Linked DNA regions of Neodiprion lecontei. The protein of the gene in region 1 purifies or fractionates together with the protein of each later gene. This does not show direct contact. Links are inferred from orthologs where the notes say so. Each region holds a gene or a part of one and is shown on either strand. Other genes may lie near its edges.

Evidence for each region.
Region 2: the proteins of E3 ubiquitin-protein ligase AMFR (region 1) and derlin-2 purify together in Homo sapiens (affinity purification with western blotting; 4 studies listed by BioGRID and IntAct, with this or other methods). This does not show direct contact. The link is inferred for Neodiprion lecontei from reciprocal best matches to the Homo sapiens genes AMFR and DERL2.
Region 3: the proteins of E3 ubiquitin-protein ligase AMFR (region 1) and E3 ubiquitin-protein ligase RNF185 purify together in Homo sapiens (affinity purification with mass spectrometry; 3 studies listed by BioGRID and IntAct, with this or other methods). This does not show direct contact. The link is inferred for Neodiprion lecontei from reciprocal best matches to the Homo sapiens genes AMFR and RNF185.
Region 4: the proteins of E3 ubiquitin-protein ligase AMFR (region 1) and derlin-1 purify together in Homo sapiens (affinity purification with western blotting; 4 studies listed by BioGRID, with this or other methods). This does not show direct contact. The link is inferred for Neodiprion lecontei from reciprocal best matches to the Homo sapiens genes AMFR and DERL1.

What each region holds. Positions count from the first base shown.
Region 1 is NC_060260.1:39,792,666-39,797,333, reverse strand, and holds the start of E3 ubiquitin-protein ligase AMFR, read left to right. Parts: upstream 1-1,639; 5' UTR 1,640-1,852; exon of another isoform or gene 1,853-1,973; intron 1,974-2,821; exon of another isoform or gene 2,822-2,952; intron 2,953-3,068; exon of another isoform or gene 3,069-3,134; intron 3,135-3,340; 5' UTR 3,341-3,860; coding exon 3,861-4,127; intron 4,128-4,668. UniProt on the Homo sapiens protein: E3 ubiquitin-protein ligase that mediates the polyubiquitination of lysine and cysteine residues on target proteins, such as CD3D, CYP3A4, CFTR, INSIG1, SOAT2/ACAT2 and APOB for proteasomal degradation.
Region 2 is NC_060263.1:3,016,662-3,022,063, forward strand, and holds derlin-2, read right to left. Parts: upstream 3,766-5,402; 5' UTR 3,609-3,765; coding exon 3,516-3,608; intron 3,334-3,515; coding exon 3,268-3,333; intron 3,177-3,267; coding exon 3,009-3,176; intron 2,915-3,008; coding exon 2,792-2,914; intron 2,703-2,791; coding exon 2,539-2,702; intron 2,450-2,538; coding exon 2,347-2,449; 3' UTR 2,289-2,346; intron 1,023-2,288; exon of another isoform or gene 881-1,022; coding exon of another isoform or gene 831-880; intron 696-830; downstream 1-695. Other genes in the region: protein phosphatase PTC7 homolog, read left to right, coding at 1-123, 439-695, 831-880; cytoplasmic phosphatidylinositol transfer protein 1, read left to right, coding at 3,925-3,968, 4,131-4,182, 4,494-4,642, 4,750-4,871, 5,020-5,027, 5,098-5,169, 5,250-5,348.
Region 3 is NC_060262.1:22,953,084-22,957,958, reverse strand, and holds the start of E3 ubiquitin-protein ligase RNF185, read right to left. Parts: upstream 3,013-4,875; 5' UTR 2,932-3,012; coding exon 2,920-2,931; exon of another isoform or gene 2,531-2,919; intron 62-2,530; coding exon 1-61. UniProt on the Homo sapiens protein: E3 ubiquitin-protein ligase that regulates selective mitochondrial autophagy by mediating 'Lys-63'-linked polyubiquitination of BNIP1.
Region 4 is NC_060262.1:20,812,242-20,818,977, forward strand, and holds derlin-1, read right to left. Parts: upstream 5,107-6,736; 5' UTR 4,948-5,106; coding exon 4,509-4,947; intron 3,721-4,508; coding exon 3,413-3,720; 3' UTR 863-3,412; coding exon of another isoform or gene 591-862; 3' UTR 543-590; downstream 1-542. Other genes in the region: probable tRNA N6-adenosine threonylcarbamoyltransferase, read left to right, coding at 332-510, 591-862. UniProt on the Homo sapiens protein: Functional component of endoplasmic reticulum-associated degradation (ERAD) for misfolded lumenal proteins. Forms homotetramers which encircle a large channel traversing the endoplasmic reticulum (ER) membrane.

The DNA.
Region 1 (4,668 bases):
AGAATTGTAGAGGAAAAAAAAGGCAAAATATACTCCGTACTGAAATCGACTCTTGTTTCTACAGACTGTAGCAACAAGCATAATTATTATCTAAATGGCGTATTTATTGTAGATATACTCAGGTTATAACCCGTTATCGTAAATGGGACATGGCTGTACCACTTTTGATGAATGGACAGTACAACATTTTTTAATAACAGCAATATTGCACGCATAATTATTATTGTTAGTATAATTTTTTCAACAGTCTGAAGATGTGTGAAAAATCTAACGTAGTAGATAAACTTAAAATGATAACAGACGCGAATCTTTTTAGCAATTTATAATATGAATTTTACTCTGGTTCGGTTTCATTGCTTTATTTTTTTTTTTTATTTTTCCTCCACTTTTTAAGATTGTATTTATTTTTATCGTTTGATAATATTATTTACTCATGATATACACGAGCTTCTTTTATTTTCTGAGAAAATTATTCAACATGTTTTCTCATATAGCAATGAACAGACCTGTATATGTAAATAACAGTCTTTCAAGCCAATAAATAAGACTTATTTCAATAACATACTGATAACGACAGCGAAATTGTTACAGTAATTAATTGTTTCCTCCATTGTAATTCCTGCAAAAAAAAGGTATAATTTCAGTATACTTTATTCGGCGCTAGAAATATTTTCGGCAAATATACTCTTTGTTTAGTTCTTACACATTTTCAATCAGTTCGTAAGTTAAATAGTAATGTCGGGTCGATAACTCAAATTCTACCTATCGCTACATGTTTGAAACAGTTTGTCTTCTTGTTCAAAGATGTCTTCGCAAATTGGCTACCTTGTAGAGCTAATGTTGAAACGTCATCGAAAAGTGCCTGACCAGTGCTCGGTAGGTAAGTGAGCCCAGGGCCATAAGAAGCCCTGCCAACGATCCGGTAGCTTCTTTATCGGCGGGAGCCGCTTACCACGCTATCTCATGAGAAAAAAAAATAAAATAAAACTGCAGTAGCGGTCTTGGTTTTTCACGGGTAGCAAAATTCTACCGTAGTATTTTGTTCCCGACTTTTTGATCAATAGGAATGCCAACACATCAGGGAAACGCTACGTAGAGTCTCTATAGAACGAAGTCTAGCGCTACCTGGTGCGCGCTGAATGTAAACTACCTGTTTTCTTAGCATACTTGAAGGAGAAAATTGCAACCGCAGTATTTTGCTGCGCATGAAAATCTAGACTTCAACAATCTTCAGTCAACGGCGTATTTGAGACTTGAATTCCGATATCAAGTAATTGTGTTTTTTTGAATTTTATGTAACCACAACGAATTCCGTGTGATCATCAAACTGAAACAACGTTCACGGATCCTGGAAATTCACTTGAATCACAGAATTTTTCCGTTCGTCTGAATAACGATCTACTGTTTCATTCATATTGCATTTAGTACAATGCATCTTCCCGCCTCAGTCGCTTCGAATAGCGCCGTCTTAGGTTCGACAATAAAAGCGGTAGGTAGCGCTACCTGTACTGAGACGCAGGCGTCCTTCCCGTCGGTAAGTTACCGATCGATCATCGCCCGGCACCCCGCCGCTGCGGTAATCCGAACGATCCGCGCCGAAAGCTGCCTGCCGCCTAGATCACAGCACAGCCTCGGGATTGGTCTGACCGCAAAGTGAAAAAGATGCGTGTGCAGTGTGCACGGGTACCGAGTGTCAGCCGTGGCACGAGAAGCCTGAAGGTTGTCAGTCGCGTAGTCGCGATTCCGCGGCCGAAAATCCATCCCCAGTTGAGATAATAATCCCGGAACGGATTTCACACCGTATCGGTGAAAAATTAGTGCGTGGCGGGTGCAGAGTTCGGAGTTTCGCAACGTAAGGTTACAATTCCGTCGATATTATGTCAGCAGCCTCGGTGCTGCTCGTAGCGAACTGCTGTTAGGATCCAGGAGAGTTAAAATTCGCCGACTGGGTTACGACAGAGGTACGAAAATTGGTGCGGTATCAACGCGGAGAGTGATAAGAAAAAAGAAAAAAAAAAAAAAACAACAAAACTCGCGCTGCTTGACCCCTGATTACGTGCATCGTATAGCTGGCAATTTATTGGTTATGTGTCGCGTAGATTTGCCGTTGAATTCTCTAAATCTCTCCTCGGTATCGAAGAAAAACTCGGCGTTGCAAACGCCGCTTTGCGCGTGTGTGTATGTCCCCCCTCCCTCTCTCACTGTCCCTGCTTTCATGCCTTTCGTCCTTCTCCTTTTTTTTTTTTTTTCCACCCAATAATCACCCGTACGTATCACACAGGCAGGTAATCCTGGGAGGGGCGAATACTTAATTTTCTATATTAATACAAACTCGAATAAATCTTCCCCCCCCCCTCCGCAATTCCTAGATCCGCGATTATATTTATGTCCGAACAGCAGTCGGAGTGAAATGACGGACACATGTAATTTCCGTATCCTATAAATGATCAGTCGATGTAAACTTCGATGTGAAGGAAAGGATTTACCGTTGATTTAGTTTACAACCACAAGTCTCGCATATTATAATATTCATATGTGAATAATGAAATTCGATACCGAGACAAACAAACAAACGAGATATTTCTTTCCCTCCTTCCATCTCTCTCTCTCTTTCTTTCTCTCTTTTTCTGTCGACGACTCGTCTCAAATGCTTTCCCCGGATCGCCCTCCTTTCTTTTTTTTTTTTTTCACTATCCCCCCCCTATTTCCCCCCCCCCCCCCCCCCCCTTCCGCGTTCTCTCGACCTGTCACTTCTCTAGGTATATGCCGGACCTGCGTTTCTGTTCATCGACGCATTGACCGCAGTGCCGAGTGCACGCACCGATATATCACAGTTTGTTTTTGTTCGTCGTCTCTGTCTATTAGTTTTGTTTTATTTACAAACGTCATATAATTTTCGTCGTTGTTTTTTCGGTCCTGATCTCCGCGGTCCGAAATTACATCTCCTTCTCGGTTAAGTAGTCTTAAACCCGGTGTTACATAACCTCACTATTTCGAGTCGCGAAGCCGGTCGTCATTGTTTTTTTTTTCTTTTTTTTTTTTTTTCTCAAATTTTACCGGTATCCTATCAATTGAACCTCGTAGCGCGAGAGCCTGATTCATAAAGTGACAGCAGTGATATGTGAAAGATTCGTGTAAATGTCATAACTTTTACATGTTGTTTTTTCCCCAAATTTTTTTTTTTTTTTTTTTTTCACACCGTTTCGAATATTCAAGAATCGGTGTGAAAAATTGAAAAAAAGAAAACGAACAAATGAGTAGCCCAAAAATCAAAGGAGTTGTAGTAAACTGAGTAGTATACCGTACAGTCAGAGTAATTTTTTGTCGCATTCGATTTCAGGTTTTTAAACTCTACCGGTGATCGTCGGACGTCGAACATACATATTAATAAATTGGGGAGTGAGTGTTGGTGTACCTAAAAATAACTACCCGCATCTATTACGAAGCGCCGCATCGACTTAAATAAACATTAAAAGCAAAGCAAGATCAAGGAGAACGAGACGCAGAGAGCCAAAAATAAAAAAGCAATTCGTCAAGTTTACAATTGTAGTAAAATACCGTGAATAATTGCCGGCGTACTTAAATATTGCGACAACAATCGTGTTTCTTTCAACCAGGTGCACGCAACTCCGTGACGACCGAGAGTAAAAAGTTAACCGAGTAGAAAATATCGAAGAAAAAGAAAAACAAGCGAGAGAGAGAAAGAAAGACGAGGATCGACGAGGTGATCCAGAGAACCAAGAGAAACGCATTTGAGGTGAAACCAGCCTGTAGTGAACGGTGGTGGTGGTTGTGGTGGTTGTCAAGTAGTTGCACTTGACCCAAGTGCGATTAATTAATTGTAAAAATAAAAAGTAAAAATGCCGATGGTTTTTCTCGACCGCTTGCCGGTCCCGAGCTTACGCGCTTACACCTCGATAAGCATCGCGATATTGTCCTGTTCGATTTACTACGCTGCACAAATCGTCAAGGATCCAGGATGGCGGAACAATCATCCGAACTCCTTGGTCGCCGCTGTGGGAAACGCCACCGACAACAATGCATCGGCCATTGTCGATTCCAGGACCCTCGGTGTTCACATGAGGGAACTTTTTGCCTGCATGGTTCAGGAGCCGGGATGCATATGGGTGAGTTTCACTCGACACTTGTTTTTTTTTTTTATATATCACGAAGATTAAGTTAGTAACTCAACTTAAGCTAGCGTGTTTAGGAGAACTCGTTGGAAAATTGGTAGACCTTGGTGAACAAAACATACTCGTATAATTTTGAAAGCAAACTACTTGAACGTTATTCGGATGTTGCGGAGTAATGATTGATACTAACTTCAGTCTTGTCCTTTTTTTGTCATGTTGAAGTTGGGAACGTGTCGTGAAGATTCATGCTGAGAAAAAACCGTTAATTCGTGATTTTGGAACTGTTTGAAACTCAGTAAACCGTTATAACAGAAAACATACTCATATTTCACAATCTTAGTTGCTTAAAAATCATTGTAACAAATAAGAAATTGACGATTTTATCCCCAGTGTTTCGTGAAGATAACGTTCCTAACTTCAACCTCGTTCAAGTATGAGCATGAAGTTTAAGTAGCGTTACTGTAACGATGCTTGTTAATGAAAAATCGCTACTTCGTGTCTTTAAGAATTTTCGAGAATTAGTAAATCATTATAA
Region 2 (5,402 bases), on another chromosome or scaffold:
ATTTGTGGTTGTCAGGAGAGGAGAAGTAGTGCATCGTTCATCGGAACAGCAGCACTACTTCAACACTCCGTTTCAATTGTCGTCACCACCTCCTGGCCACAGTGGGTTGGTACTTAGCGACAGGTGAGAGACAATTAATTTTTACTTGCAGTAACAACTAATTAGTTTTTCATTAATTGCCATTTCGAATCCCAAATACAGTTGACATAATAATTACACTTTGAATAATTATAAATAGGGTGCATTTATTCTCTATTATATGTTTATTCTTTTTTTTTTTCTTTCTCTTTTTAACAAACTTCACGTTATTTACAATTGGATTATAATTTTGGGATCTAAACTTTGAATACAAACAATTATATGCGTGTATGATATGCCGATTCCCTGCTAGAAGTTTGAACCCGACAATATTTTACAAGTTTAGTAATATTTTTATAGGCCCGAAGCTGCGGACACTTCCAGCTTTGGCGTGGAAGATGGGGATGTTATTCTTTTAGCAACTGACGGAGTTTTCGACAATGTACCTGACCAGTTGTTAGTCACCGAGATGCGCAAAGTCCAAGGAGAGCGTGATCCTACGAAATTGCAGGGTGTTGCCAATTCAATAGCCTGGATGGCCCGCAGTCTTGCGTTCGACGGGGCTTTTATGTCACCATTTGCCCAAAATGCTAGAGAAAATGGAATAGATGCTATAGGTTAGTACTGGGCATGAAATGCAGCCACCGCTTACTCTTGAACCAATTTCAACACGTACTTTGGTCTTGCGAAATTTTCATGCAATATTTTCACTTCAGAGAACATGAACAACAAAATATCATTGTTTGTTACAGGTGGTAAACCAGATGATATCACGGTGCTTCTAGCAACAGTGGCGATATAACTAAAAAATGTGTATAATAGAGCCCCGATCATTGTATTATAGTCCATGTCATTGCATATATGTATTAAGTTGCACATCATTCTATCCCAATATTATAACCCATTACTATTTAAATCTAAATAAATGATTTTTCAAATCATGATTCACTCTGATGAATTCATTTCAGACACATGGCTAACGTTTACTCTACAATGAACGTTCTACCAACGTAAATGAATAGTGGACAAAAGCGTTATTTAAATAGCTCATTCCGAAAGTCTGACAAATTGTTGAATTATTTCAAGTATTCAAGGAATAGCACTCTTGAAAACATGATAATAGACTTCGGTTAACTGTACATTCGAAAACGTTTGACGGCAAAAACAATATGTTTAGAGGTATCAATAAATTAAACGCTTACGATAATACTTAAATATTTTGAAAAGGTACTATTGATTGTACGAATATTAAAGCTGATCTTTGGGAAATGGTTTTAAGAATGTGAGAATTGGATGTATAATTTTCTGCACCGTATGTTTGATTTTAAGAAATCATAGTCATGGACCGTTGTTATTAATAAAATATACTGCTTACATTTGTAGCTGAGCCCCAATGGTTAATCGGAAAGATTCTACTTCTAGTTAGACATTATGCGCACGAGTTCACAACTATCATTATTAAAAGCCTTAGAAATGTTCTGACATTATCCGATGCAGAAACTTCTGAGTTCATTTCACCTGGAGAATTTTAATTGATACTTTATTTTTATAGCTAAATCACAGATAGTAAGACATTTTACACAAATATAAATATATTATGACGAAACTTACATAGACAATTGAGATGCAAACCAACGCTTGCCATGTTTTTAAACAGGTTTTTCAAACGACCATTCAAGTTTACTACCAACATCTAATTATATAATTTGAGAATTGCATGTATGATAAATTGCGAAAACTTGTTTTCTAATGCCTTTAATGTCATCTCACTATGGTAGCAGAGCATCGTTCGATCATTCAATCATACCTTTTACCATAACAACCTATGTTACTTGTACGTAAAATTAACTTGATAATTGGAATATAAGATTTTCCTTCCGATTGATCTAGTGATTCTAGAAGAGTGACGGCAGGAACTCATTCAAGTAGTTTTCTGTTATTACTCAATTTTTGAATAGCTTTAGAAAATGTCAATGCTGAATGAGATATTGCATAAGCACGGGTTTCTTGGTTTAAAAATTGTAAATATTCAGCAAAACCCCTCAAATCATTAAAGTTTGATGCATGCATAACAATTGCAACTGTTTCGAGTGGATATGCCATAGATACCCAGCACTTAAACTACAATTAAATATCTTCAAAAAATATGCAGCATTATGTCAAATTAAAGTAACTGTTATATACGACAAAAAAATAACTGAAGGATTTACTTGAAACGCTCGGGTGATGATAATAATGTGGTGTTAATTCGGCGAATTTGTCTGCGAATCATTGCACGTTAGCACCTTGACCCCAGTTAAAACCGCCCGGCCTATCCTCAGGTAACGGTGTGTAATTTGGATCCTCCGTATGTGCATCGAACAGAGTTTTTCTGAACACAGAAATTTATTATAAGAAGTATGACCTAACCTTTGGTGAGAGCCTTAATTTGAAGACAGTAGATAAATCTGAATAACTCACAATATCTGCGGGGTCTTGAGTATGCGAAAACCACCATTTTGTCGTGGAAATACATCTTCAGCAAAGTAGTACATGTGTCCTACTGCCATTCCGATCAAATCAACCCAAATTGCATTGCCTAATAGAACGGAGAATCCTAAGAGCACCCAAGGCAAGTATGGCGCCTATGTAGAACGGAAAAAATTACAATGCGTCTGTTACATCAAAATCGATATTCCTTCTATTTTTCCAATTTAATTATCTGCAAGCGTACTTGAAAGTTGAGGAGTCCAAAAAAGTTCATTCTGACAAAAGGATTCCGTCTTGACCATATATACACCAACATGATGGTGAGTGCTTGGCCAAGGAACAATAAATTAACGAAAAATGCGAATATCTGTAAGAATTTGAGGAATAATACTCAACTAGAGCAATGCGGATGATACAATAATAAAATAAAACGGAGACGAAAAGTTCATAGACAAGGATACAATCATGCAGATGCCACCAAATATGAACATCATAACAAAGTCGGCGGTTCTACCGCGGAACGAGACTTCTTCCAGCATCCGACAATAGCGATACGTAAATATCATATTGAAGAAGAAATTGAATCCAACCGTCCCGAAGAATAGGAAAGTTGTGATCAGTCGCCATAACTGCAAAGGTATAATTAACAAGAGAGAGATATTAACTCACCGTGGAACGATATTTATATTTTCTAACGTAGAAACTGATTGAGAAAATTACCTGATATTGTTTCAGTATTAAAATCGGATTGAAGTATAATTGGAATGGAGAGACGAGGTCCAATTGCTGTAAGAAAAAGAATAAAAATTTAATTTGACACAAATTTAACCTCGCAGTAATGACGAACGTTTTGTCAATACTGAAAAGTGCAGTAATCACGGGGGTAACATGGAATCTGAATAATATCGAGAATCGAGTGAACTCTGACGGAAAATTTTGTACGAAGATAATAAAATACGTATGTATACCACGGCTAGAGTCGTGATGACACAAGCAGTCGTATACGCTCGTGTCACCACGGGCATTTGCAGGTATTCCTGCCTAAACGTTTGATAAGCCATTTAACGACGGTTATATTTCTACCCTCTGACAGGCTATTCTCTTTCCTATTTTACAGTTGCATGTCGTTCATCCTTTCGCGTTATCATAACGTAATCATTGTCCACATCACAGAAAAACTTGTCAGTCACTTCAATTTGGTACACGTAATATAAATATACACGTATGTACGTACATACATTACGTGTGCAGTGTGTGGCAATGCGAAGTGAGCTGCATATCAGATATCAGCTGTAACGATGTATCGATGCTTTTCAGATGGGGTAAGCGCGGCTTGAAGTAGGCTGCATTTTCGTCCTATTCGCGTTTGTTTATCTTATGGTGTTTCGTCGTCTATGGTTTGTCCCATCAAAGCAGACCACGTATGTTGTACTTGCGGTATACATAGTTTCGAAAATTGTATCTCGCTATAAATTTTCCCAATTTACATTACGATTTTATAACTGAAAAATATTAATTTCACATTGGAGGATTAACTTCTAATCTTGTCAGATTAAATATAACTTATAACTTGTCGTGATTAGAATGGTGTTGACCAAGGAATATCGGATATGCATGCCGTTTACCACGGACGAGGTAATGAGATTATAATTTTAAATTCTTTTTTCAATTATGCACGAATCAATTATGAATAAAATCACTGTTACAACGATTATAGGCAATTCTATATAAACATGTTGATTTGCGTATATTATTATATTTAATTTGGATGAATAATCGCACAATCAATCGAATATATTTATCCAAATATGATGCATCGGCAATCATTCCTTCGCGAGTGAGAATTCAAATATCGGTTCACGTAACAAGGACCTAGTTACAGTATTTGCCAAGTAATGTTGGAGAAAATAAAATTCCAAAATTTCTCTCATCGTTTATCATTTTAGTATCAAATCGGACAATTGTATATGATTGCGCGACACAGTCACGAGCAATCTGATTCCGATGAAGGTGTCGAAGTTATTGAGACGTCGCCGTGCGAACATGCCACTCATGGAACAGGTCAATTTACTGAGAAGAGGATTCATCTTTCAAAGTAATATATTCTTGATCCATGGATAATGAAGCAGTTTTCTATATCGTTTTCAATCTTCCATGCCTTTATGTTATTTCAACCGTTATTGTTCTCCTCCTTCATTTCAGTAAACTACCGTATTGGATCCAATCATTTGTACCGAAGATATTTTACATTACTGAAAAAGCTTGGAACTACTATCCTTTCACAATTACGGGTGAGATGTTTCAACTTTTGTTGGAAATTAAAGGTGATTCAATTCAAATCTGCAACGAATCACTCCCAAGTACCTTAGAACATATAAACCATACCCTATTTGTTTTGGAACACTTTTCCATTCCCTGCAAATAAAATAATATGTAATATTTTGTTACATGGGGCAATGGTGATCTTCACAGTTTACACAGTGAGTATTATGCATTAAATTTCATTAAAATTCCATTATGCATTGTACAACGGGTGTATTTGTATTTCAGTGTTCGTTCATACCCACATTTCACATATCTATCAATACTAGATACGAAAACAACAATGGCTCAAATGAAAACGTGAGTTATTCACTTGTAATATTGAATGATATATATGTCACCGTTTCAATCATTGATTCTAATATCTAGTCAATGGGTAGTGCTTAGATTTAACTCCTGTGGAACTTATTCATCGGGAAGTTGATTATATTGACATCGCATATGATGAAATAGCTGCCAAGCACTACAAAGAGGAGGAGGTATGTTTCCTGCACTTTTAGCGTCTGTCATACGTTATTCGCATTAGACTGAAT
Region 3 (4,875 bases), on another chromosome or scaffold:
CTGACCCCGAAGGCTTCGACGGCCCGGGCTGTTCTTTCGCGGTGCTCATCTCAGCTAGCTCCTTTTCGAAAAAGCGAACAACGAATTATATTAGTAAACTGCTTTACAAAGAAATCTAAAAACATACTTTGGCATAAACTCTGCCTTTACTTGTTTCATTGAATAGCATCAACTGTTTTTTTGTGAAGTTAATATATTGAACAACAAAATTAATTCAAATTTTCACCATCACTTAGTAATATGACAGTAATTTTCAAATAAAAGTATTTGCAATTAATAACAAATTCTATTCAAAAGTAAAAGACATCTGGTGAGAAACGAAGAACATAAAATTCGATGATAATATCAAACAATAATATTGTTCAATTTTATTCCGTCAATCGCATGTATATCATGTTACACTGTGCAGTTTGACATGACTGCTGGAGCGGCATATAGGCCAGAATGATATTTATCGTTAAAAATATGGAAACGGTAAGGTTCACGGCATCTAGCACATTGAATTTACAAAGTATAAATAATTGAGTATGCGATGTTCTATCACGATTTCCTGAATTCGGAAAATTCTAAAGCCTGAAATATGATGAGTTTTTCAAAAAATACATTGTTACACCGATATTAACTTTCACCTCATCAACTGCACTGCAAGCTGATTGAAATTGGCGTTCAAAATACAAATTCATCATGAGACTGCAGTTTTAACCGTGTGGGCAACTACGTGACAATGTTGCATCCTGACCATTTTACAACCATTTCATAGCATACAGGTATAGCATTGAGTTTCCGTAGGATTTCACACCATTTGACAGTATTTCATATATTTCACGACCATTTTACAATATTTCACGAATATTTCATGGTAGCTCTTAGCCACACTATAGTATTTCATGGTACTTTATACTGTTTTATCATGATATGCCTTTGACGTCAAATAAATTTTTTTGGTATGATGTCAATTTCAATGCAAACCACAATTATTAATATAAATCTTTTTCGGAAATTGCAAACGAAATGTTGTGGTTATTCAATCAAAAATGTATTATGTTAACTTTTCCAGAATAAATTATAACAAAAGTATTCCAGACTTTTCCATACCTAAGAAGCAATATTTATGTCCCAAAATAATTCCAGGATTTAGGTAGGTAAATTTAAGAGGCAGAAGATACCCTGAGAATTATAATTGCTTTTTTACTGTTCATCACCTCTAATGATATAAGAGAAATATTGGTTTTGATCGAGAACAACCTATCTTAATTTCAATGAATCTATGTTTTCAGACCTCTAGTGTCCAAAAAATACATTTTTTAAGAAATTCCGGTCTTTCTGTTTGTCCTGACAAACGTCCGCGATGATCTTGAAAAGAGATCGATTGAAAAGTTTGAAATTTAAACAATTTCACATTCAAATGATGTGCATTGCAAATGATTTTAACGTATTTACTAAACGCTTTATACAATGACTTGGATTTTAAGTAAGAAATTATTTTTCAAAGAAAATCTTAATAATTCCCAAGCTTTTACCGCTTTTTCTGATATTCCCATGTATTTAACATTTTGAGATATGTACACAAAGCGAGGTGAGTTTTGATCTGTTCAAGGCCACCAATGTTGTCTGCCACCAACTATTTAACATAAATAGCAGACGACACTGGCAGCCTTGAATTGGTCAGAATCCACCTCGATTTGTGTGCATCATGTACTTCGTTGAAGAACTTTGAAATTTTATAGTCTATCTTTCCAAATATTTGATAAATAATTTATTTACCATCTTGGGTAGAACTGATGATAAATAATAATTTGCAAATATGTGTATAAAAAACAATGTTGACAATATACTTATTGCAAATGTCAAATGACCTGTAAGAAAAATATCGGTATTATCATAAATTTATCGACTATAACTATCAATTTTGATCAGTTGTACATACAATGAGATTATTTTTAAACTTGGTATAAGTTGGTAATGTCATTGTGATAAAAAGAGCTTGCAGTTACATGCATGCACTTTCAGAATAAACTTGTACTATCAAAACTAAATTCAAGGCAGCAATCGTAATAATTTGTGCAACTAGACTGCTATTCTTTTTAATTTTGGTTTGCCTTGATAAAAAAGCCTTACTTTATTACTATGACTATGTTTCTTATTCAATCTGATATTCTTTACTAAAATAGATAAGGATCAGCAGTTATTCAATCTACAACGGTGCTCTAAATTATCTCTTGATTTGGTAAATATTATAGGTGACGAATGGATGTTACATATTTATGCATCAAAATAATGATTAGAAAAGTGGTTTCAAAGGTGGGAATGTTACACCACTGCAATGATTACTGAGTGAGTGTAGAGTTAATTATATTTACAGTATAATAGCTAAAATGAAAGAGAAGAGACTCTACATATGACAGATATTACAATGAATTCGCAACGTTGGGATTAGGAAAACGTCGAAATCTGATAAGATTTACTGAAAACGAGTAGGTGATGATCTTGAAAATAAGACTGACAGAATTTAATTAAATCTATAAATTACCCATATGAAAAGCGACGAAAAATTATCTATCAGCAGAGGTTATGTTTTAGCGAATTAGATTTAGTAAATAATAAATGATTCGAAGAGTTAAAAATTACGACAAGTAGTAACCTTACGGACTGTGAATGGAAATCCAACTGTTTGAAAACACTGATATTGACACCGCAGACACTTCAAAGTTCTTGGCAGACTGCCTGATACGAACTCTTGAATTGCGCAAGTTCTGTAATCTGGCAGATAATTTTCGTTATTTAATGAGAAACGGATGTTCGGAATAACACGTAAACGATGTGCTTGATCGTCAAATCCTGTAAACACTGGTTAGACCGGTCCTAATTTATTCGGTAATGGTGATGACACATAATTGCATGTTGAATATTAACACGTACGCATTTTGACATTTCGAAAAGTGAATTTCACTGTAAGTGATCGATCCAATTAGCAGTAGGTTTTTTGACTAGCACAGTAAAGTACCGAGCATGGAGTAGAAGGAGAAGAAACTAGAATGAAAGTTGATCCCTAGTATAGGTGGCATCGCGGTCTTGTATCAGGTCTAAAAACAAAACCTCATTTCAATGTCGCCGTGTGACTCCGTTACGAGCGAAGCGATCTAATCTAGGGACCTTGTTACGAGCATCTCTATTCTCCTCGTTCGCCCCCAGATGCCTCGCTGCGGTCTAGTAGTATCTCCATTCTCCGACTCTAGTGTCTTCCTAGTTGTTTTATGATGACAAAATAACCACCAGAATTGATGAGCAATCAGAGCATTCTTGCTGCGGTTGCATTCAGCTGTTTGCTGCACGTGAAAAATCAGCCTTAAGGCCGAAGCACACAAAACCAGAAGCCATAAGCAGAATGCAGAAAGTTATTGCGCATGCGCTATGGGTTCTGTAAAAGCCAATTGTGAAATTCAGATTCGATTCATACTGCGCGTAATAAAAGCTCAAGGCCAGAGGTGTAATGTGGCAAAGCATTAACATGCGCTTCTTTGTCGTTGTCGAGAAAATCCACACTGAAATATTCCATCACGTTCAAATACTTTACTACGATAATCATAATTCAATGGTCGCGAGGCGCAGTGGTAAGCTCTCTGGCCCGTCATCCGGTGGTCGCGGGATCGTATCTCGCTATTCGCAACTTTTTTTTTTTTTTTCATTTAATTTTCTTTGTAATCCAATTGTGTGTATATACATAATCCCCGGCAATCAGTTTCAATAATTATGCATATAATAATTTTTTTAAATGCCGTTTGTCGCGGAAAAACCGACGACTTCGAACATCATTATGTTGTTCCCAAACAAAGTTATATTTCAAAAATGTTATCAATTGTTTTCATAATGTTTACCAAGTATAGTTAACGGAAGAAGTATGAACGATGTTCCAAAACGAATACGTGTAGTGGGAATCAAACGCTTAAAACATAACAGTGACTCCTCGAACAAACATTTGCTTCCTGAAATAGAATATAATATGGATTCGTGTTGTTTCATGCAAATAACACTAGAATGTTTGTTCGAGGAGTCACTGTTATGTTTCGAGCGTTAAATCTATTGACTGAGAACCAAAGTGAAAAAAAATCAAACAATTGATCAAAAATCGTATAAAAATTATTCAGTTCGCTATATGATTTTTGATTTATTATATCTGACGATTCGTGCTTTTGTAATTTATTATGAGATTTTTATTTATTTTAACAAATTTACAAAATAAATCATGTATCAAATTACACGTGAATTTCAGTCATTATGTTTTATAATTTAATACTTGACCATTTTCAGTAGGGAAAACGTTTTTTGAATAATCGTTGACTAAAGCTAGTATGTAACGTGCTTCGTTCCAGGAAGGTGTTTCAATTAGTCTGCAAATAGCAATATGCAACAGTTTTAATTTTTCCTTGGCTGATGTCCCTGATAATTTCAATTACTTGCTCGTCGTCTAGTTTTTTTCTGACTCTTGTGCTTGATCCTTTGTGTACTTAGCAATTCATCGGTATTTGAATTTGCACCGCTTTTTTTTTTTATCTCTTTGGCACTGCCGAGTTCGTGAATACCTCTACTTCTGTCCAAGAAAGATTTTATGGCGAATAACTTCTGATATTTGACCGTGCAGCTATCCCTGAAAATATTACAATGAAATGTGGACTGTCCCCCATCCATAATACATACATCAATTAAGGGGGTATTCTAGTCTAAAGGTCTAGTTTTCGGGCATTTTATTGGGCTTGGTGTAAAAAAGAATGAAAATTATTTTAGCACCCATTTTTTTCACGCTCTTTTTATTGGTGATTGAAGAACTTACAGTTGAGTGTTTGTGAAAAAAAAAATTCAAAAAGTTATGGGCCTCTA
Region 4 (6,736 bases), on another chromosome or scaffold:
ACTCTGTTTAATTACATTTTTTGATTAAATTCTTCGACATTCATACACTGGAAGGTCCAACGGGTTTGCAACCAAAAAATTCACTTGCCAACACTTTTGCAAATTTGGTTAGTCAATTTTTTTATAAGCTTCAATGACAAAAGTCCGTATTTCCAAAAAACTATGTACATGAGCATATGCGGAATTTATGTTTCAAATTTGCGTATGCATTTTTTTCTCTACGAGTACTATGCATGCCTAGTAACTCAAGATTGAGAATTTCTGACACATCTCTGCTAATTATGACACTTTTCTTCATTCATTTAATGAATGCCATTTTCTATTTCAACAGAGGTCAAAAACTGGCGCCACTGCCATATACAGTCAAAGGAATGGACGTGTCATTTTCTGGTATCTTGAGTCACATTGAAGAACGACTACCCAAATGGTTGAAGAATGGCGAATATACAAACGCAGATCTATGCTTTTCTTTACAAGAAACTTTATTTGCAATGTTGATAGAAATAACAGGTAATTAAATAAGCTGACAAGAAAAAAATGCATTAACTTTTTAACTTGACATCAAACCGTTTATTTTGTTTATCTAACAGAACGAGCTATGGCACACACAGGATCGCACGAAGTTCTTATAGTTGGTGGTGTCGGTTGTAATTTAAGACTGCAGAAAATGATGGCTGAGATGTGTGAGGAAAGAAACGCTACCCTTTATGCAACTGACGAACGATTTTGTATTGACAATGGAGTGATGATAGCTGTTGCCGGTTTATCACAATTCAACACGAGTGGTCCCACACCCTGGCATCAAACCACCTGCGTTCAACGATACAGAACAGATGCTGTGCATGTAGCTTGGCGAATTTGAGTCTTGAGGCGTAAGAACGAAATATTACATAATTGGATGTGTGGTAGGGGCGTGGCCTACATCTCGCTGTCAGGTGGAGAAAATTAAAATTGATGCCAGTAGGGTCAGTGAGAGGCTCTATTGGCTGGTTCTATCAGAATGACCTCACTGTTGATGGTTCAAGCGCTGTCCGCAGTTTGGCGTAGCAGACTATCACAGATGCCAATGTTATGAACTTTTCAATTTAGTAGCCATAAAGTACGCCAGTATGGTTGCATTTTGCTGCCATAAAATTGAACCTTATACAGAGACGTGTTCAATTGAGCACAAGTTCAACTGTAGGGTCGGAAAACGCGACCATAATGGCGTATCTTACGGCTTTTACATAAAAAAAATAATGTTCACACCAAAGCCATACAACTTTCTGGCTTTGGTTCAAAAACTACTATTGCATGAGAATTTCAAGAATAAAATGAGCAACTTATATGTATAGTATATACAGGGTGAGTTTTCTCCGGGGTCTGATCTGGGAGGAGCTTGGATGTGCTGAGAGTCCGACTTCTATTCATACTCGTCCGCTTCAAAATAATAGTGTGTGATTATAGAGCAGATACGCTTATCTCTAAATCTGTTTACGTCCACACGTATAGCACACATCCGAAATACAATCTACTCACATGAGGGATTGTTTTGATAGCGGGATACAAGCATTGACACAGGACGAGTATGAATAGAAGAAGGCGGACTCTCACATATCCAAGCTCCTCCTAGATCAGACCCCGGAGAAAACTCACCCTGTATATAACGCAAGTAAGTTTGCTTTGATAAACAATTGGATCAATACCTGTACATTTGTATATAATGTGTGACAAACATACATAGATATCCACGTTTATTCACGAATTCTGTACCTAATATATTATATTTATAATAAAATATACATTTATGTACATGATACAGCAAAAACTTCATAGCGGTGACAAGACAGATAAATATCAAATTTCCAGACTTCCTGCCGTATTTTTTATGCTTTCTGTACACAGGCCAGCATTCAGTTTTGTTTGATTGCCATTATCTTATTAAATAATAGTCTACAATACTGTACTGACATGTGGTACAGAATTATTTGTTAAATTTGTCAAAAACAAGTTGAATATTGAAGGTGAAGACTTTTGAAAAAGACATCTTACGTTTGGAGTACCATAATTCCCTGTCTTCCTCATCTGTCACCAGCCTGAATATTATTACTGACACTTAATGTTCATATGATATTGGTACACATAAATACGTGTAAGTGATATATCGTTTAAAATCATTGTGTATTTTTCTAGATTCATTCAAACTGTCCAATATAAGTAGGTATTTACCAGGAAGTGAACGAGACAAGTTTTCCGAGATCCGTTCCAAATTGCTACCTTCTTTGATGTTAATATAAAGCAATACGCATATTTTCTAAATCAGATTGATTCATTAAATCGAAAGTTTGTTTTAACAATTGAAAATGCAATGACAAGATTGCATTTAATTTTTCACAATTGACAAGCAGCGATTAACAAAATCTCAATGCTAAGCTTCATTTTAGTAATCATTCGACAAACATAAATACTAATTATACTGATCCGTGTATAACTTCTTACTTAATTATGCAGAGCCCCCCCACCCCCACTCACTCACAATAAGTAGCCAGCGGTTACCCTGACCCTGTTATTTGAGCATTATTGTATTTATTAAATGTGCTTTACCATCAGAGTGAAGAAAGGAACTATCTTTTGTTGGAAGTACTGTAGTGCAGAATTCTCTAGTTCCAGAAACTTACTTTGCAAGCACTCGAGCAAAAACTGGTAGGTATATTATTAAATTTGATATAATTAATTTTATCAACATATAACAGGTCAACATTGAGATATTCCCATAAATCTTAATTATCTTCAAATAACAAATTGTACCACCATTTACCATGGAAAACTAATCAGGCAACTTCGAAATAATGTTTTCATACTGCATTAAATTAACTCTATCATTTTTAAAGTTGAGAAAGTAGAAAAAAAACTATCTATCTTCAGAAATATATATCGTATACACGAATATATACATGCATATGTGTATGTATATAGGGTGATCTAGAAATATTGCCCCATAAGCTACCGTTGTATTCTTCATGAAAATTTGCGACTATAATGATATTTCTCATAGTAAATTTGTTATTTGTAAATTACTGTTTGAAATTGGCCAATTCGATAGCACTTGATGGCTCAGGGCAGCTGCTGAGTGCACAACAAATAAATGGGGTTTCGCCAGCCCTAGCAATCCTATTCTGAGCCATTAAATGCTACTGGATTGGCTAATGTGAAGTGGTTGTAATTTATAAAGAATAAATTTTCTATAAAAAAGTAAAAAATTTTTTAACCTCAGATTTTCACAAGGAACACATGGGTAGCCTATGGGGCGATAGTCCGGTGTCATCCTGTACATAGTATGTTTCATTTACTCCCAGTTTCTTGGTATACTTGTACACTCACTCTTCATAAAATATACAGATGTAAACTTGGTTTAATTAGGTATACACCTTGATTACTGGCCGAGAGGCTGGCCACGTCCCCATTGATAACCACCATACATATTTCTGCCCGGTCTCTGTGGTTCCCTTTGTGAAGGAGCGGTTCCAAACCCTCTGAGTCTTGAAGGAGGGAAATAAGCCTCGAGAAATTGAGGTGTGGCCAATAAATCTGGACCTCCGAATTCTTGAGGGTATTTAAACTTCAGGAAGAAGTACAAATGTCCCACTAGAATACCAACCAGTTCCAACATTCCACCGCCAGATATCACAAGATTGAAAGCAAAGAGAACCCATGGCAGATACATTGCTTTAAACTGCGTCCCTGTAATGACAATATCACATTGTTTTCTGTGTTTCTTGTTTTTTTATTTAAACTCCACATTAAAATAAGTAAATCGGGACAGTAGGTGAATAACACAAGATAATAGGTCATACATTTCTGTGACAAAACACGGCAGAAATCCTGCTCGATATTGTAGTATGAATAAATAGTGAATGTAGCTTTTATTTACAAGTATGCTATCTGATAAAGAAAAGAGTGAAAATTTTATTATCACTTTGATAGATACTACAAGTTTTTGCTTAAGATTTTTGCTTGTTTCATGCTTTGATAATGAAATTATTTATAAAATAAAAAAAATTCATTTGAATCGCCCAATTGTCCAATCTTTACTACGACAAAACTGTTTTTTTTTTTATGCAGCATATTTCGAAAATCAAACAAATAGGGTTTTAGAATTCCCAATGCAATCAATTGTTTTAAGAATGATGAAAATCAAAAAAATCAATAGACTATTGACCCATTACGCTAACTTTTACACCTGTGGACTTTCAAAATATGGGAACAATTCAAATTGGGTTTTGGATATTTGGATATTTTTTTTTAGGCATTTTGTAAACCATTCAACCAACTGCAGTAGCTAAATATTTTGCCATTACGTTTGTTACATTAACACAGCAAACTAGAATATCATTATTCTACAGGGAATGTGTTGGGTAACTTATGGAATAAATTGGTGTACGATTACAGCTAACCTTGCCGATCAATATTAAGTAAAACAAGTTTGAAAATAAGGAGCGACATTAAGTCTTATGCATCTATTTTCTTACCAAACCAAAAATTGACAATAGTGTCTCGGTTGAGATGACACCATATGTAGAGTACACTGAGTACCATAGGGTCCATGAGAAGTGGGAATTCTCCAAAGAGTCCAGCGATGACACAGCAAACCCAGTTAAACAGAAGCATGTAGAAATAATCAGCTGGTCGTCCATCATACTCGCCACGTTCGAGCCTTACAGAATAGTTGTAGATGAAATAACAGTTGATCATAAAGTGAAACCCAGTTGTTGGTCCAAGGGGATAATAAAATACGCTGGTAACGGCTCTCCATATCTCGAATTTGTGAACGAATGGAATGTAGAATAAAACGAGTCGTTCCGGACTGAAAATACCGAATCTTCCCAAAAGAGAGCATCCCACGGATAAAAGAAGCCACCATCTAGTAAATAATGGCTGGGCATTGAACCACTCTCTCAGTTCTGACATTTTTGCACCGTATTATCTATTCAACCACTTTTTGATGTACGGCACAAATCCAAAAACCGCGACGATTGTGTATTAAACCGTCAGATGACAAAATCCACCACTTCGCTGCCGACAACGATTACTCCGAAATTGCAGCATTGGCTAATGCATAAGACACGGTTGATCTAAACTATACCAAGAGAAGAAACCTACTTGTTTTCCATGCCTTAAGTGATGATGAAAGAAATGGTGCGTTCCGAAATTAGCTCCCAGTGCTGCCAACAACCATTTATCTCCTTTGCGCTTCCAAGTTCGTGAGTAGCTCTGCTTCTAAAGCATGTACTGCCGTTTTCCACTTATAGCGTTTTCCACTGGTTGCACTGAGTGTGAACTGAGAGCGTACTACCGGTAGATTTGTATTTCCAGCGTGTTCCACTGGCAGCTCGGGTGCGTGAATTTAGCACTGAGTGCGTAAAATATTGCCCTGAAATCGGGAGTCGGTGTCAAAGCAGTGCAATTATGGCTGCCGATCGTGAAAGAGTCTAAGTAGATGCTGTGACAGCAACTCTTTTATTAGATCTAATTTCATCTTCGTCTAGCAGTGATGATGGACTTGCTGGAGCCGAAAGATAGAGGAGAGATTCCCAAAATTTTAAGTTTCATAGGAGTAATCCACAGCATGTCCGATATCGAAGTATGGAAACACATTTTTTCAGCTTTTAGAGGTTAACTGCTAGGTATATTTCAGGAGATTGGGACAACTTGACTTGCTACTTATTAATTTTTATCTTTTCAGTGGAATTGTCCATTTTTTTTGCCCTTGTATGCTCGTGCCTAACATTTATGACATTTATTTACAAACAAAAAATTACCGTTGCGTTTGTTCAATTGGTTTCTTTATCACTTGCTTGAAAAAACTGATAGTCGCGCAGTCGGTCGAGTAACGTCACATTATTTGTGATTTAGGAGAAATTATGATCTAGTCTGCCTTTATACGTTTTACGGCGTTCCACTCAGAAGGTTTGCCCCGATGCCGGGCGACGCATGCACGGAACGAGTGCCCCCTGTTCGAACCAGTGCGCACTCAGTGCAACCAGTGGAAAACGCTAATAGAGATCAGTAGAGTCGGCCAATCGGATCCTGCGAGACAAAGAAAGGATGTAGCATTACTACTTCTCTCTCTATATCGTTTTCCGCTCATACGGAAGAGTGTACCAGGGCTTCCTTCATGTCTATAGGTATTTCTAGGGCCAAGGTAGAGCCAGTGAAAAACGCTGTAGGTATGCATCTTAAAAATATAATTAAAATTTTTATGATAATGATGATGATGACGGTATTTGTATATTGGCACAATGCCGTAAGGGACATAGCCAACAGCAAAAAAGAAGGAAGAAAAATAAGAATATTTAAAAACGTTATCTGACGTTGTGGCTGAATATCGAGCTAGATATTTTTTGAAACAAGTTACTGTGTGTACAATGGCGTCTGTCATATGAGTTTGAAGCCGCGCTTGAAGCCGCGGGTCGATCAAGAAAGAGGCAGTGTGAGTGGTGCGTGGGGCGTGACCGTTCGGCTGATACATTAACCGGATTAAAAATGACGCTATGTATTAAAATCGGACTGTCGAAAATCTGAAAAGATGAGATAGACTCCGGTTCATAGGGAGAATAAAAAGAATCAAATTTGAAACCATAAATCGGAGGTGAAAATGACACTCTACGAATCTGAGAACACTAAATTACTTTGCGGCGCTATACTCTAAAATTACCTTAAACGCTGATTAATCTACAGTCGGGCTCTATCTTAGAAT